Linked DNA regions of Diceros bicornis minor. The protein of the gene in region 1 purifies or fractionates together with the protein of each later gene. This does not show direct contact. Links are inferred from orthologs where the notes say so. Each region holds a gene or a part of one and is shown in the gene's direction. Other genes may lie near its edges.

Region 1 (3,478 bases):
AATAATACCAAGTTTAATAACATGTATACATGGGAGAAACTCAGAAATGAGCAACTCGTCCCTCTGTCTAAGCTGCTTGCTTAAGTATTGCAGCTAAAGGCGAGGAGCATGTTGGGGGTGGGTAGTGGCCTAGGACTTCAGAGGGCAGGAGGACAATTCTTTTCTGGGTCATTTATAGATAACATGGTCATCTATAGATAACGTGGTCAGGGAGAGACAGAGTTTTTTGATAAAAGAGACTTGGTGCCTTTGCTATTGTAACCTCTATCCTACATCATCTTTATAGCCATCATGATATAAGATCTGTTCCAGGAAGGAGCCACCATGTCAAATTCTTTAGGCAGTTACTGGGGGAGGTCAAATGTCCCCCAGAGAAAACAATCAAGGTAAAGAGATATATTTCAGGGTGGCCAAATCTTGATCTCCCACAGCCTCAATGCCTAGGTTTTTAAACGTGAAATACCTGTACCACCACCAGAGAAACTTTAAAGCCCCTATTCTGTTTAAAGCCATGACTATTTTTTAATTCCCAGAGACAGTGGGAAGAGTTTCGGAATTTAACAACAAAAAAAAGAAAGTTATCTGTTCACCAATGGTTTCACGCACAACTAGGTCTGTTAGTTTCCTTAAGAGAGAAATTCGGTACTGCCGTAGGTTCCAGAGGCAGCTTTTTGAGCCAGCATTGCTGACTGAACTATTTTTTTAAAATGCTTCCATCACAGATGCGGCTGCTCCTCGGAACACGTAAAGGCCTGGAAGTTTTGACAGAAAAACTTTCTTAAACTTCAATTTCCTAGAATGGTGTGGTGAAAAGAGACGGAAAGCAACCCTCTAATAAGGAAATTAGGCTGGGCTTCATTGTCAGTACTATTTCTCGTTGGCTGTCCTAGTCGAGAAATCCGCAGACTTGCCCACCCCCGAGCTTGTCCCTCACAGGGCTGCTGCTTTCAGCTCACGACCTGCTCAAGATGGCTACAGATACACTTCCGGCAGCTTCCCGAACTAGGCCCGCCTCTATTTGCGTATTTTCAACGCGCCGGGGGCCGGACTTAGAGTTAGCTTTTCATTGGTCAACTTGACTGGCGACCTTTCGTCTCCGCGACAGTTTCCCGAGGTGCCTAGTGCCTGAGCGGCACGGACGAGAGTTACAACGAAGGCAAGATGGCGGATGTGCTGGATCTTCATGAGGCTGGCGGCGAGGATTTCGCCATGGATGAGGATGGGGACGGTGAGGACAGTGGAGGCGGCTGCGGGAAGCGGGGAAGGTGCGAGAGAAGGGCGTTAACAGGAAAACACAATCTCCCTCTTCCCCAGCAGGGAAGATGGGAGCCGGGGAACTGGGTTTCGGTTGGATTAGAGACTCCGCCCCCCTCGAGAGGAATGGGGGCGGGACCGGGAAGGGACTGGGACTGGAGGTGGTGGGGTCTGCTTTCAGATACTGTCTTGGGACAAAGAGACTATTGTTATAAATAACTGTTGTCTTTGTTATTCATTCTTTCATTTCTGGGGTTCCAGAGAGCATCCACAAACTAAAAGAAAAAGCGAAGAAACGGAAGGGCCGCGGCTTTGGCTCCGGTGAGTGTGTGTGGGAAAAATGGGGTCTAGAATGGCGAGAGCTACGAGTTTTGGAGTTCCCGTTCAGACTCATGGGAAGCAGTGGGAGAAGGAGAATTTCCGGTGATCTCGTGTATGTTCCTTATAGAAGAGGGGTCTCGAGCGCGGATGCGTGAGGATTATGACAGCGTGGAGCAAGATGGTGATGAACCCGGCCCACAACGCTGTAAGTAACATGGAGCCTGTAGGGATCTGTGTTTGTAGAGAATCAGGAACCAATAAAATAAAACCCAGTAGAAATGGGGTCAGAGATAGCTTAACCATTCTCTGCAGTCCGTGCACTCACTCTACTCCTGTGATCTTGTTTGAAGTTTTTCTCTCATGTTCTCAAACAGTCTCCGTCCCTTCCCCAACAGCTGTTGAAGGCTGGATTCTCTTTGTCACTGGAGTCCATGAGGAAGCCACTGAAGAAGACATCCATGACAAATTTGCAGAGTATGGCGAAATAAAAAACATCCACCTCAACTTGGACAGGCGTACAGGATACCTGAAGGTATCCTAAGTAACACTCTTTTGCCTGTCTTCCTCCATAACCCTTAGACATCATTGGTAGTTCTTGTTTGCTGTGGTTGACCAAAAGCAAAGTTGAAATAAAATGACATTGGAAATTGATTTTGTTAGACACAGCAAAGAGACAGACAGAAACAGACACGGTGTGTATACAGTAGGGATATATGATGTACATTCATTGTTTAAAGTTTATAGATTTTTCTATTTGAGTATGAATTTAGATTTGAAGAAAAATTTAGTATTTGAAGATACTCAGGGATGTTTGGTGGAATAGGAGGGTTCTGATATCTGTCTTTTCCCTTGCCCCAGGGATATACTCTAGTTGAGTATGAAACATACAAGGAGGCCCAGGCTGCTATGGAGGGACTCAATGGCCAGGATTTGATGGGACAGCCAATCAGCGTGGACTGGTGTTTTGTCCGGGGTCCGCCCAAGGGCAAGAGGAGGTAAAGTGGAGCGGGCAAACACTATCTTGCTAAAGGGAATATGAAGGAAACCGATTAAGGACTTTGTATTATGTCCCTCTGATGGACCTCCCCCTTCCTTTTCCCTAGAGGTGGCCGAAGACGCAGCAGGAGTCCAGACCGGAGGCGTCGCTGACAAGATCTCTGTTGTCGAGGTGGTTTCTCCAGAGATTCCATTTGACCACGCAACCTTGGAGAAAGAGAGCCGGGGTGGAACTCACTATGTTTATATTTAATCTCTTACCCTACCTGCTTAGTGTTTGAGTTATGAATAAATGTCCCATTTTTGTTTTCTACATTTAAAGTTTTTTTCCTATTCTAACATTGGAAGCTCTGAAGCACTATTTAGAGTAAGGCAGTGTGGGTTACTGTGAAGATACTTCTCCCAGGAACTGAATTCTGTGTGAGTTTCTACATTAGACATAGTTTCAAGTCTCAGCTAGGGTTAAAAGAAAGAGACTGCTTAGTATTTCTTTTTCTTGGAAGCTAAGAAAGCAGGGCTAGAAGTGAGATGTTCTCATGATATTAAAGAATAATTATTCCCTTCCTATATACTCTGTCCTGAGCAAATGGATATTACAGGAATGTCTCTTGTGTTTCTCCTGCTCTTCTTCCTGCCACATTTGTTTGTATTTCCAGCTGTCTAAGGGCTTGAGTCTCCTGTCGAGGCATTCTCCCAGACCCTCTTTCCCTGGAAGAGTCTTTACTAAGTTCTTGGTGCCCTCTTTGGCATCCAAGGGTGAAGGCCCCATAAAGGAGAGGATCCAGAGGAGCTTTGAGGATGCCCAAGAGGAAAAGGATATGGCTGAGGCTGGGAGGGACTTCAGTTAGCATGGTGGGAGAGAACCAGTACCACAGACCCAGCAGGTAATAAGGTGTCCAGCAGAGGA
Region 2 (3,748 bases), on another chromosome or scaffold:
GTCTTGTGTGTGTCCTGTGATTTAGCCCAAATTTAAGAAAAACTATGATATTCTGTACCCCTTCTGTTGGATCCTGTATCTACACGTAATTATCTCATTTTACCCTTATAACCTCCTTTGTGGGTGGGTATAATTGTCCCATTTTACTGATGAAGGAACTGAGATTCTGAAGGGTTAAGTGGCTTGCCCAAGGTCACACATGGTGTAAGAGGCAGAGGCAGCTGGAAAACCCAGGTGTGTCTGATGCTAATCATGCTCTTCCTTGGTTTGTAATTATTTCTTCTTTCATGGTCAGAGCTCATAGGGCCTCAGAGACTCTAGTGTTCCACCTATGCTCTCCTCAGATGGGAAGAAACGCTCAGAACCAGCCCAAGGCAACACAAGGAGGAAGGTGCAAAATCAAGACTCAAAACAAAAACTGACCAGCAGTGCCCACTGGAAGCCTAGAGGACACTACCCTTCTCCCAGCCAGGCTCCTGTTAGGAATGTCTGCAAGAAACCATGCTCAGGAGTCTACCGTGGAACAAGCCCTCCAGAATCAGGAAATTGGGGTTCAAGTTCTGGCCTTTAGGCAGCTCACTACCCTCTTGGAGTCTCAATTTTTGTCCATGTAAAATGCGCCAATTATTGGGAGTCTCAAAAGAGTCAAAGGTTGGCAAGGCAAGTACGTTGTAAACCTACAGACTGCCCAGAGGTGATAGACCAAGGCTCGTTCTGGGCTTAGAGTCAGACTGCCTAGGCTCAGATCCAGGTCTTATCCCTTAAATTGCCTATCACCTTGGTAAATTTCTATGCCTCAGTTTCCTTGTAATAATAGGACCTACTTCACAGGGTTGCTGTAAAGATTCAAGCGCTTGGAACAGTCACTGGCACGTGAGGATCATTCACTAAAGTTAGCTTTTATTACAGGTCTGTTGCTCGAGGCGTAGGACCAAACCGATCTCATTCAGGCCCCGCCCCCTCCATCAGGCTCCGCCCCCGTCCTCACTCGGTCCCGCCTCCTCCTCACTAGGCCCCGCTCCAGGCGTCCGGGGTTCCTTCCGCCACCAGGGGGCGGCGGCGCTGAAGGGGGCCTTCTAGCCGAAGCAGGCGACGCTCTAGATAGCGGCGGCGGCAGCACTGTGGCCAGTGGCGGCGGCGCTCTAGCCAGCTGGTGTGCGGGGCGGGGTACTCAGTGGTGCGGCCGGCGGGCGGCGATGGCGGCCGTACGGGGCCTGCGAGTGTCGGTGAAGGCGGAGGCCCCGGCGGGGCCGGCCCTGGGGCTCCCGTCGCCTGAGGCGGAGTCCAGTCTGGAGCGTGGCGAGCCGGAGCCCATGGAGGTGGAGGAGGGCGAGCTGGAGCTCGTGCCGGTGCGGCGCTCGCTGAAGGAACTGATCCCGGTACGGGGGGCGAGGGGGAGGTCGCCGAGAGACTGCCCCGCGCCGGAGCGGCCGGAAGGGGAGGCGGCGGGCGCCCGGGCCGGGGGAAGTCAGGAGACGGGAGAGGCGAGCGAGCGCCCGGGGGCGGGGGCGCCGGGCTTGAGGAGAGACGGGGAGCGGGGGAGAGGACGCCGGGGCGTCCGGAAATGGTGTCGAGGGGCTGAGGAGGTGAGGGAGAGCTGGGGGGGCAGTTGAGGACACCCCCTCCGCTGTCCCTTGGAGCCAGTCTGTGCGAGGGGTGGGTGAGGAGGGGCGGGGATTGTCTGGGGCTTGAGATAAAGGGGGAGCCCGGGCGGGAACAGAACCAGGAGCGGCCCAGAAGGAGCTGTGGGCAGGCGCCGGCATCCAGGTCTCCCTGCGGGTCCAGCGCTGGTGGGGCTGTGTCTGTTAAACATTGCACTGGCGGTTTCTCTTGGGAGGGCTGGACTTGTCAGCAGCAGAAACTCGGTGTTTCTGTGGTGACTCGAGGGTCGTCTTGTCCCCGCACAGCTCCACTGCTGTGTGGCACCTACGCCGGGGGCCCCAGCATCTGACCCTTAATGAAACCAAAACAGCAGCGAACCAGCAGTGGTGCTTGGTCCGTCTCTTATCACAATGGGATGGTGAGAGGTGTTTTGCTTGTGGTTTGGTGGTCCTCTGTCCGGTTCTTAGGGCTGGTCTCAGGCCTCCATGGCTCCTCTCATTTACTTAATTTCTCGCCCAACACGAACGACTTTTTACTGCATGTCAGCAAGTCTTGCTTTTAGACTGAAATTATGAAAAAAGGTGAAGGTAGGATCACAAATGATATACAGAGATAGCAAAGGATAATGACTCTGGTGACAACAATTAACGTAGTGGCGTTTTACCATTTACCACATTAGATCATTTAAATGTCACTGCACTTGTGAAGTAGACATTATCATCTCTTTATTCATTCAGTTCAGTATGCATTTGTTGCATCCCCCACTGTGTGCCAGGCACAGCCCCAAGCGCTTGGTCAAGATCAGACTCCCTCCTGGAGTTTATGTTTCAGCTGGGGGACACAAGGAAAAAAATAATTTCCCATAGTGATAAGTGCTATGAAGAAAACGAAACATGTTAATGAGATTGAGAATGTAGAAGTCAGGGAGGGTGTGCAGAGCAGGAAGCCGAATGGGATAGGATGGTCAGGGAAGTCCTCTGAAATAGTGACATTTAAGCTGAACCCTAAAGGACAAACAGGAGCCAACCGTGTGCAGGTTTGGAAGAGAGTGGTCCCGGCAGGGGCAACAGTAAGCCCAAAGGCTCTGAGATGGGAACAAGATTGTTTTGTTGGAGAAACGGAAAGTTCTGGAGTGCAAATGGGAGAGCAGTAAAAGAGGTCAGGAAGGTAGGCAGACACCACAGAGGAAACGTAGGCCCAGAGAGGCCAAAGGAATTGTACAGTGTCGTGTAATCAGTGAACCTCAGAGCTGCCACTCGAGTCCTCGGCTTCCCAGTCCCATCCTCTTTTCACAGCCCTGTACTGTGTTTTCCCCAGGAGGTCTAGGTGAGTCTGGACTTGCTGCATTTTGGTGAAGACTTGTGCTCCACCTGGTGGCCCAGCATGATGAGTTTGTTCAGTCTGGGCTGGGGAGACAAATGACCGTGCCTCATCCCAGACATTTTTCGTGGAAGCCTTTAGATTTTCATTTACATGGACACCTTTAGTAGATGGAATTACTTAAGGTTTTGGACAGGCTCTGATCTAGGAAAGACTTCTCGTTAGAGAGGTGGATTGCTACCATGGAGTCACTGAGACAGGCTTCCTCGTAATAAGAGGTTGTCAGGGTGGGGGAAGGATTGCTGAAAAGAATGACTATCCAAAAGGAATCAGTTGTCGGGCTGTCTTTTATCAAGTTTTTCCTCAGTTGCCATCAGCATTTCTTACCCTTCCCCCTCGTGTTAGGACACAAGCAGAAGATATGAAAACAAGGCTGGCAGCTTCATCACTGGAATCGATGTCACCTCCAAGGTAAGACAGACCATGATTTATTTATTCGTTTTGATAAGCAGGTGAACTTAATGAACTTGGTCCTAAGACTTGTAGAACAGCAATTATTCTTTACCTCCTTTTTTCTTTTGTTGCTGGATTAAAAAATTTTTATTTAATTTAAATTTCTTTTTACACAATGATGCTCTCATGCATCCTGAAAATATCCGGGCAGCATTTGTATGTTCTCACATCCATGAAAAGATAAAATAACCCTACCTAGATGCCTGTGCTTAACCACATCCAAGAGAAAGTTCTGCACTGGGAATGCTTTTTTTATGCTATGTCCGTTCTTTAAAAATGTGTATGCTGTTTCCACTTAAATGAAACAAAACAT
Region 3 (3,748 bases), on another chromosome or scaffold:
AGACACATTTGAAGTGGCCAATTCTGATCCCCCCCAAAAAGTTCGAATTATCTTGTGATAAGAGATTTTCACACATTGACGTACAAAGGGTAACCCTTTGGGTTTAAACCTGATTCTAGGCTTGAACTAAACAAGCCTGATTTATGGCCTATGAAACATACATTGTACATACACTTTAACCATTAAAGAACATCCTCTCTTAAGAATGCTTACCTCCCCTCCTACGCCCTATTGGTAATGCGGATTAGTCCCTTTCCCCAACATCAGGGTCATGTTGACCTGCTAATTTGCAACTGAATGCCTCTTTGAAATTTTATCCTGGGCATGTTTAATGTATGTTTTTTGTCCTAAAAAGGTGTAAGACTGTACTGAAAACCACTCTTCTCCAGAACGCTTTCTTACTTTCTGGAAAAGGCCCTCCTGGGTTATAATCCTTATTGGTTATTTTGCATCCACACTTTGAGAACAATAAATATCTGTAACTGTTTTATTAAGCACGTGTATGTAACTCGCAGGACTATTCGGCCAAATAGCCAGCTCTCTGTGGGAAGCAGGTTCAGCCCTGTGTGGGAGATCAAGATTTGGCCACCCTGAAATCTCTCTCTTTACCTTGGTTGTTTTCTCTGAGGACATTTGACCTCCCCCACTAACTGCCTAAAGAATTTGACATAGTATCAAACTCTTTGATACTGGAACAGATCTTCTATCTGATGGCTGTAATATAATGTAAAATAGATGTTACAATAGAAAAGGCATCAACAAGCCCATATTATGTCTCTCTGGCCACATTCTCTGGATGGCCCTGCGAGGAGTTGCCAGACAAACATTTACATTTATAAGGGAAATCTCCATTTGTAAAGGGATCTCCCTCTCTGTTTTGGGAAGAGGGGGGATGGCCTCATTTCTAGAGACTTATCACTATGGAAGGTGAGGCCTTAAATCTGCATAATAACCTCACTCTTGTTTACTGGGCTTTAGTGATAATCTTCTGTAACTGACTCCCCCCCCCCAACATCCTCCTTTGTCATTGGCTGAACATGGTATTTAAGACTAGAATTTCTGCTATTGTGTTGAGAAACGCAGCGTCCCTGCTTTCTCCCACGTATACATTGTTATTAAACTTGGTATTATTTTCTCCTGCTAACCTGTCTTATTAATTATTTGGCCAGCCATAAGAACCTAAGGCAAAGGGCAGAGGGAGATTCTCCCTCTCTCCCAACACCTGCAAAGGCTGTTGCTTGAGCCAATCGTCCCCTGGGCCAGAATGTCCTGCTGACACCAAACGAACAAGACTCCAGACCCTCCGAGGTCGAGCTCCCACTTCCCAGTGACCGCACAGCTGCGCAATGTGGCGGCAGGGCTGGTGGGAGGTGCGGCTCCAGGGCCCCCATACAGAGGCCCCAGGGCGGCGGCGGAGGTCGTGGGCCAAGAGGGCGCGCGGAAAGTGGAATACCCGGGGCCAGGGGGTGGCCCAGGGGGAGGGGGCGGAGGGGAACGGAGGAGAGGGGCGGGCGCCATCCAAGCCCCAGCGGCCCAGTTCTCGCGAGGTTCCGCCCGGGCGAGAGGCGGCAGTGGCTCCGCGACCGGTACGAGATGCGCTCGGAGAAGGAGGGGGCCGGAGGCCCCAGGGCGGCTGTTGCTGCACGGCGCTCAACCGGGAGGGAGAAGGCAGCCGTCCTGGAAGTCCAGTTCCGCCGGGAGTCGCCACCGGCCGCGTCCTCCGGCTGTGGGGGTGGCGCAGGCAAACCTCGCGAGGAGAAGAAAACGGCCCTAAGCAAGGTGGGGGCGGGGCGAAGGAAGGGGCGGGGTGAGGACGGGGCGGTGCAAGCAAACCTCGCGAGAGGAAGGGGAATTCTTAGCGCGGTCAGGCGGGGCGAGGGTGGGTGCTGCGCGCCAACCTCGCGAGAGGAGGACGGTCCTCAGCAAGGTGAGGCGGGGCCGCGGGTTGGGCGGGGCGCCCTTCAGCACCGCGGACAGCGGTCGGGCAGCGCTGGCCGAGTTTTCGGCGCCCTCCGACGCGAGCTTTTCCGGCCTGGGGAGGAAGAAATGCCCTGTGGGCCTGAGCACGTTTCCCGCTGGGGCTGAGACGCTGGGCTCCCCGGCGCCTGGCAGTAGCTGTCCGCACTGCCGAGGAGCGCGGCCGCAGGGGGCACGAGCGGGGTCGGTGGCTCGGCGGCTCTGTCAGGGTCCGGTCCGGTCCAGGGAAGACGGCGGCAGCCGGGAGAGGCAGCCCGGACGGCTGGTGAGGTGTTGGAGAGGACCCGCGGTGTGGACACTGCGGACAGGAGGCGGACTTCCCCTGGGCAGTGAGGACGGTGCCCGTGGGTTTGCTCCTGCTGGTGTTCTCTGCGTGTGTCTTGCCTCCTAGTGTGGCCCACATGCAGGAGAGAGAGGAGCGGGTCTTATTTTGCAGCTCGGGCACGGACCGTACGTGTCGTGGTAGTAATGAAATGATTCCGAGGAAGAGGGGTTATGCGCAGGCTTTTCTGACCCCACGGATCCCTTTTAAATTATTCAGCCCTCATTACCCTTTTGACAGCTATGTTCTCCAGGTATTTCTTATCCTTTCCTAAAATGTGTGTTTCTGCTGGACGCCTGGTTTAGATTTTCCTTTGAGCATAAACACAGGTGACCAAGCATTCAAATAATTGAAGCTTAATACAGTGATAGTGAAACAAAACCCAGGCAGCGACCTTTCCCCAGGTGGTCATCCGGCGGCTTCCTCCCAGCCTCACCAAGGAGCAGCTGGAACAGCAGCTTCGCCCGCTGCCTGCGCACGACTCCTTCGAGTTCTTCACTGCCGATCTCAGGTGAGAAGCTGTTTACCGACGTTAAACAGCTGTGAGGTATTGTCAGTGGTGGAAATTTTTGTAGATAATAGGAGCCATCTTCGTTTCCATCTTCTTTCCCACACGTACCCAGAAATCAGTGCAGACCTTTGTTTCTAAGTTATTTCTAAGTAGGCAGATCATTAAATTCCTCTAAAACAGATTTGGAATATGCCTCTGCTGTCACTACCGTAGTCTGAAAAGAAAAACAGACAAACTAACAACATATTACTCAATTTTGGATATCAATAAACTATTTCATAGAGCTTTTTAAAGTAGATTTTATTAAGATATAACAAAGAAAAGTGAATGAATAATAGATGTATAACCTGATGAATTTTCACAAGTGAACACACCCATATAATTAACACCAGATAAAGAAACAGAATATCCCCGACCCCAGAAGCCCCCTTGTACTCCCTTCTATCACTAACACCCCGACCCTGCGCATGCCCGGTCATGTCTTTTTCAATTCCCTGTTACAGCTTGGTAATAAGATGACTCTGACAACACTGTAACACTTCCAAATTTCCCTTTTAATGACACAGAGGGAGCAGACCAGGTTAGACCTTCAACAGGTGACAGTTCACCTAGAATTTAGTGATTTTCATTATGTTTTTATCATGATCTTCATTATCATTGTTATTGTTTCTATTCTCAATATTGTGAGTTCTCAATTATGGTAGCCATAGGAACTTTCCTTTAGAATAAATGCATTTAAGTAAAAAACGTCAGTCCATTCAAAGAAAAATATCACTAAGAGGTAACTTTAGATATAGTTTAAAAACCCAACAGAAAGATGGTTTTCAAATGACTAAAGTTTAGGAAAACTGGTGCCGTTACAGGAAGACGGGCACTGGTCTCAGGTGGGATCCCAGGCCCACCTTTTAACTAACACGTCCTCTCAAGTTCCTGATTTC

What was found.
Region 2: the proteins of RBM8A (region 1) and NCBP3 purify together in Homo sapiens (co-immunoprecipitation; 3 studies listed by BioGRID and IntAct, with this or other methods). This does not show direct contact. The link is inferred for Diceros bicornis minor from reciprocal best matches to the Homo sapiens genes RBM8A and NCBP3.
Region 3: the proteins of RBM8A (region 1) and UPF3A purify together in Homo sapiens (co-immunoprecipitation; 4 studies listed by BioGRID and IntAct, with this or other methods). This does not show direct contact. The link is inferred for Diceros bicornis minor from reciprocal best matches to the Homo sapiens genes RBM8A and UPF3A.

Annotation. Positions count from the first base shown.
Region 1 is NC_080743.1:53,440,025-53,443,502, reverse strand, and holds RBM8A (RNA-binding protein 8A), read left to right. Parts: upstream 1-1,119; 5' UTR 1,120-1,161; coding exon 1,162-1,228; intron 1,229-1,515; coding exon 1,516-1,575; intron 1,576-1,702; coding exon 1,703-1,780; intron 1,781-1,970; coding exon 1,971-2,107; intron 2,108-2,433; coding exon 2,434-2,570; intron 2,571-2,678; coding exon 2,679-2,724; 3' UTR 2,725-2,886; downstream 2,887-3,478.
Region 2 is NC_080757.1:13,940,368-13,944,115, forward strand, and holds the start of NCBP3 (nuclear cap-binding protein subunit 3), read left to right. Parts: upstream 1-1,174; 5' UTR 1,175-1,196; coding exon 1,197-1,379; intron 1,380-3,327; coding exon 3,328-3,393; intron 3,394-3,748. UniProt on the Homo sapiens protein: Associates with NCBP1/CBP80 to form an alternative cap-binding complex (CBC) which plays a key role in mRNA export. NCBP3 serves as adapter protein linking the capped RNAs (m7GpppG-capped RNA) to NCBP1/CBP80.
Region 3 is NC_080748.1:87,795,033-87,798,780, forward strand, and holds the start of UPF3A (regulator of nonsense transcripts 3A), read left to right. Parts: upstream 1-1,576; 5' UTR 1,577-1,593; coding exon 1,594-1,779; intron 1,780-2,014; exon of another isoform or gene 2,015-2,378; coding exon of another isoform or gene 2,379-2,552; intron 2,553-2,703; coding exon 2,704-2,810; intron 2,811-3,748. UniProt on the Homo sapiens protein: Involved in nonsense-mediated decay (NMD) of mRNAs containing premature stop codons by associating with the nuclear exon junction complex (EJC) and serving as link between the EJC core and NMD machinery.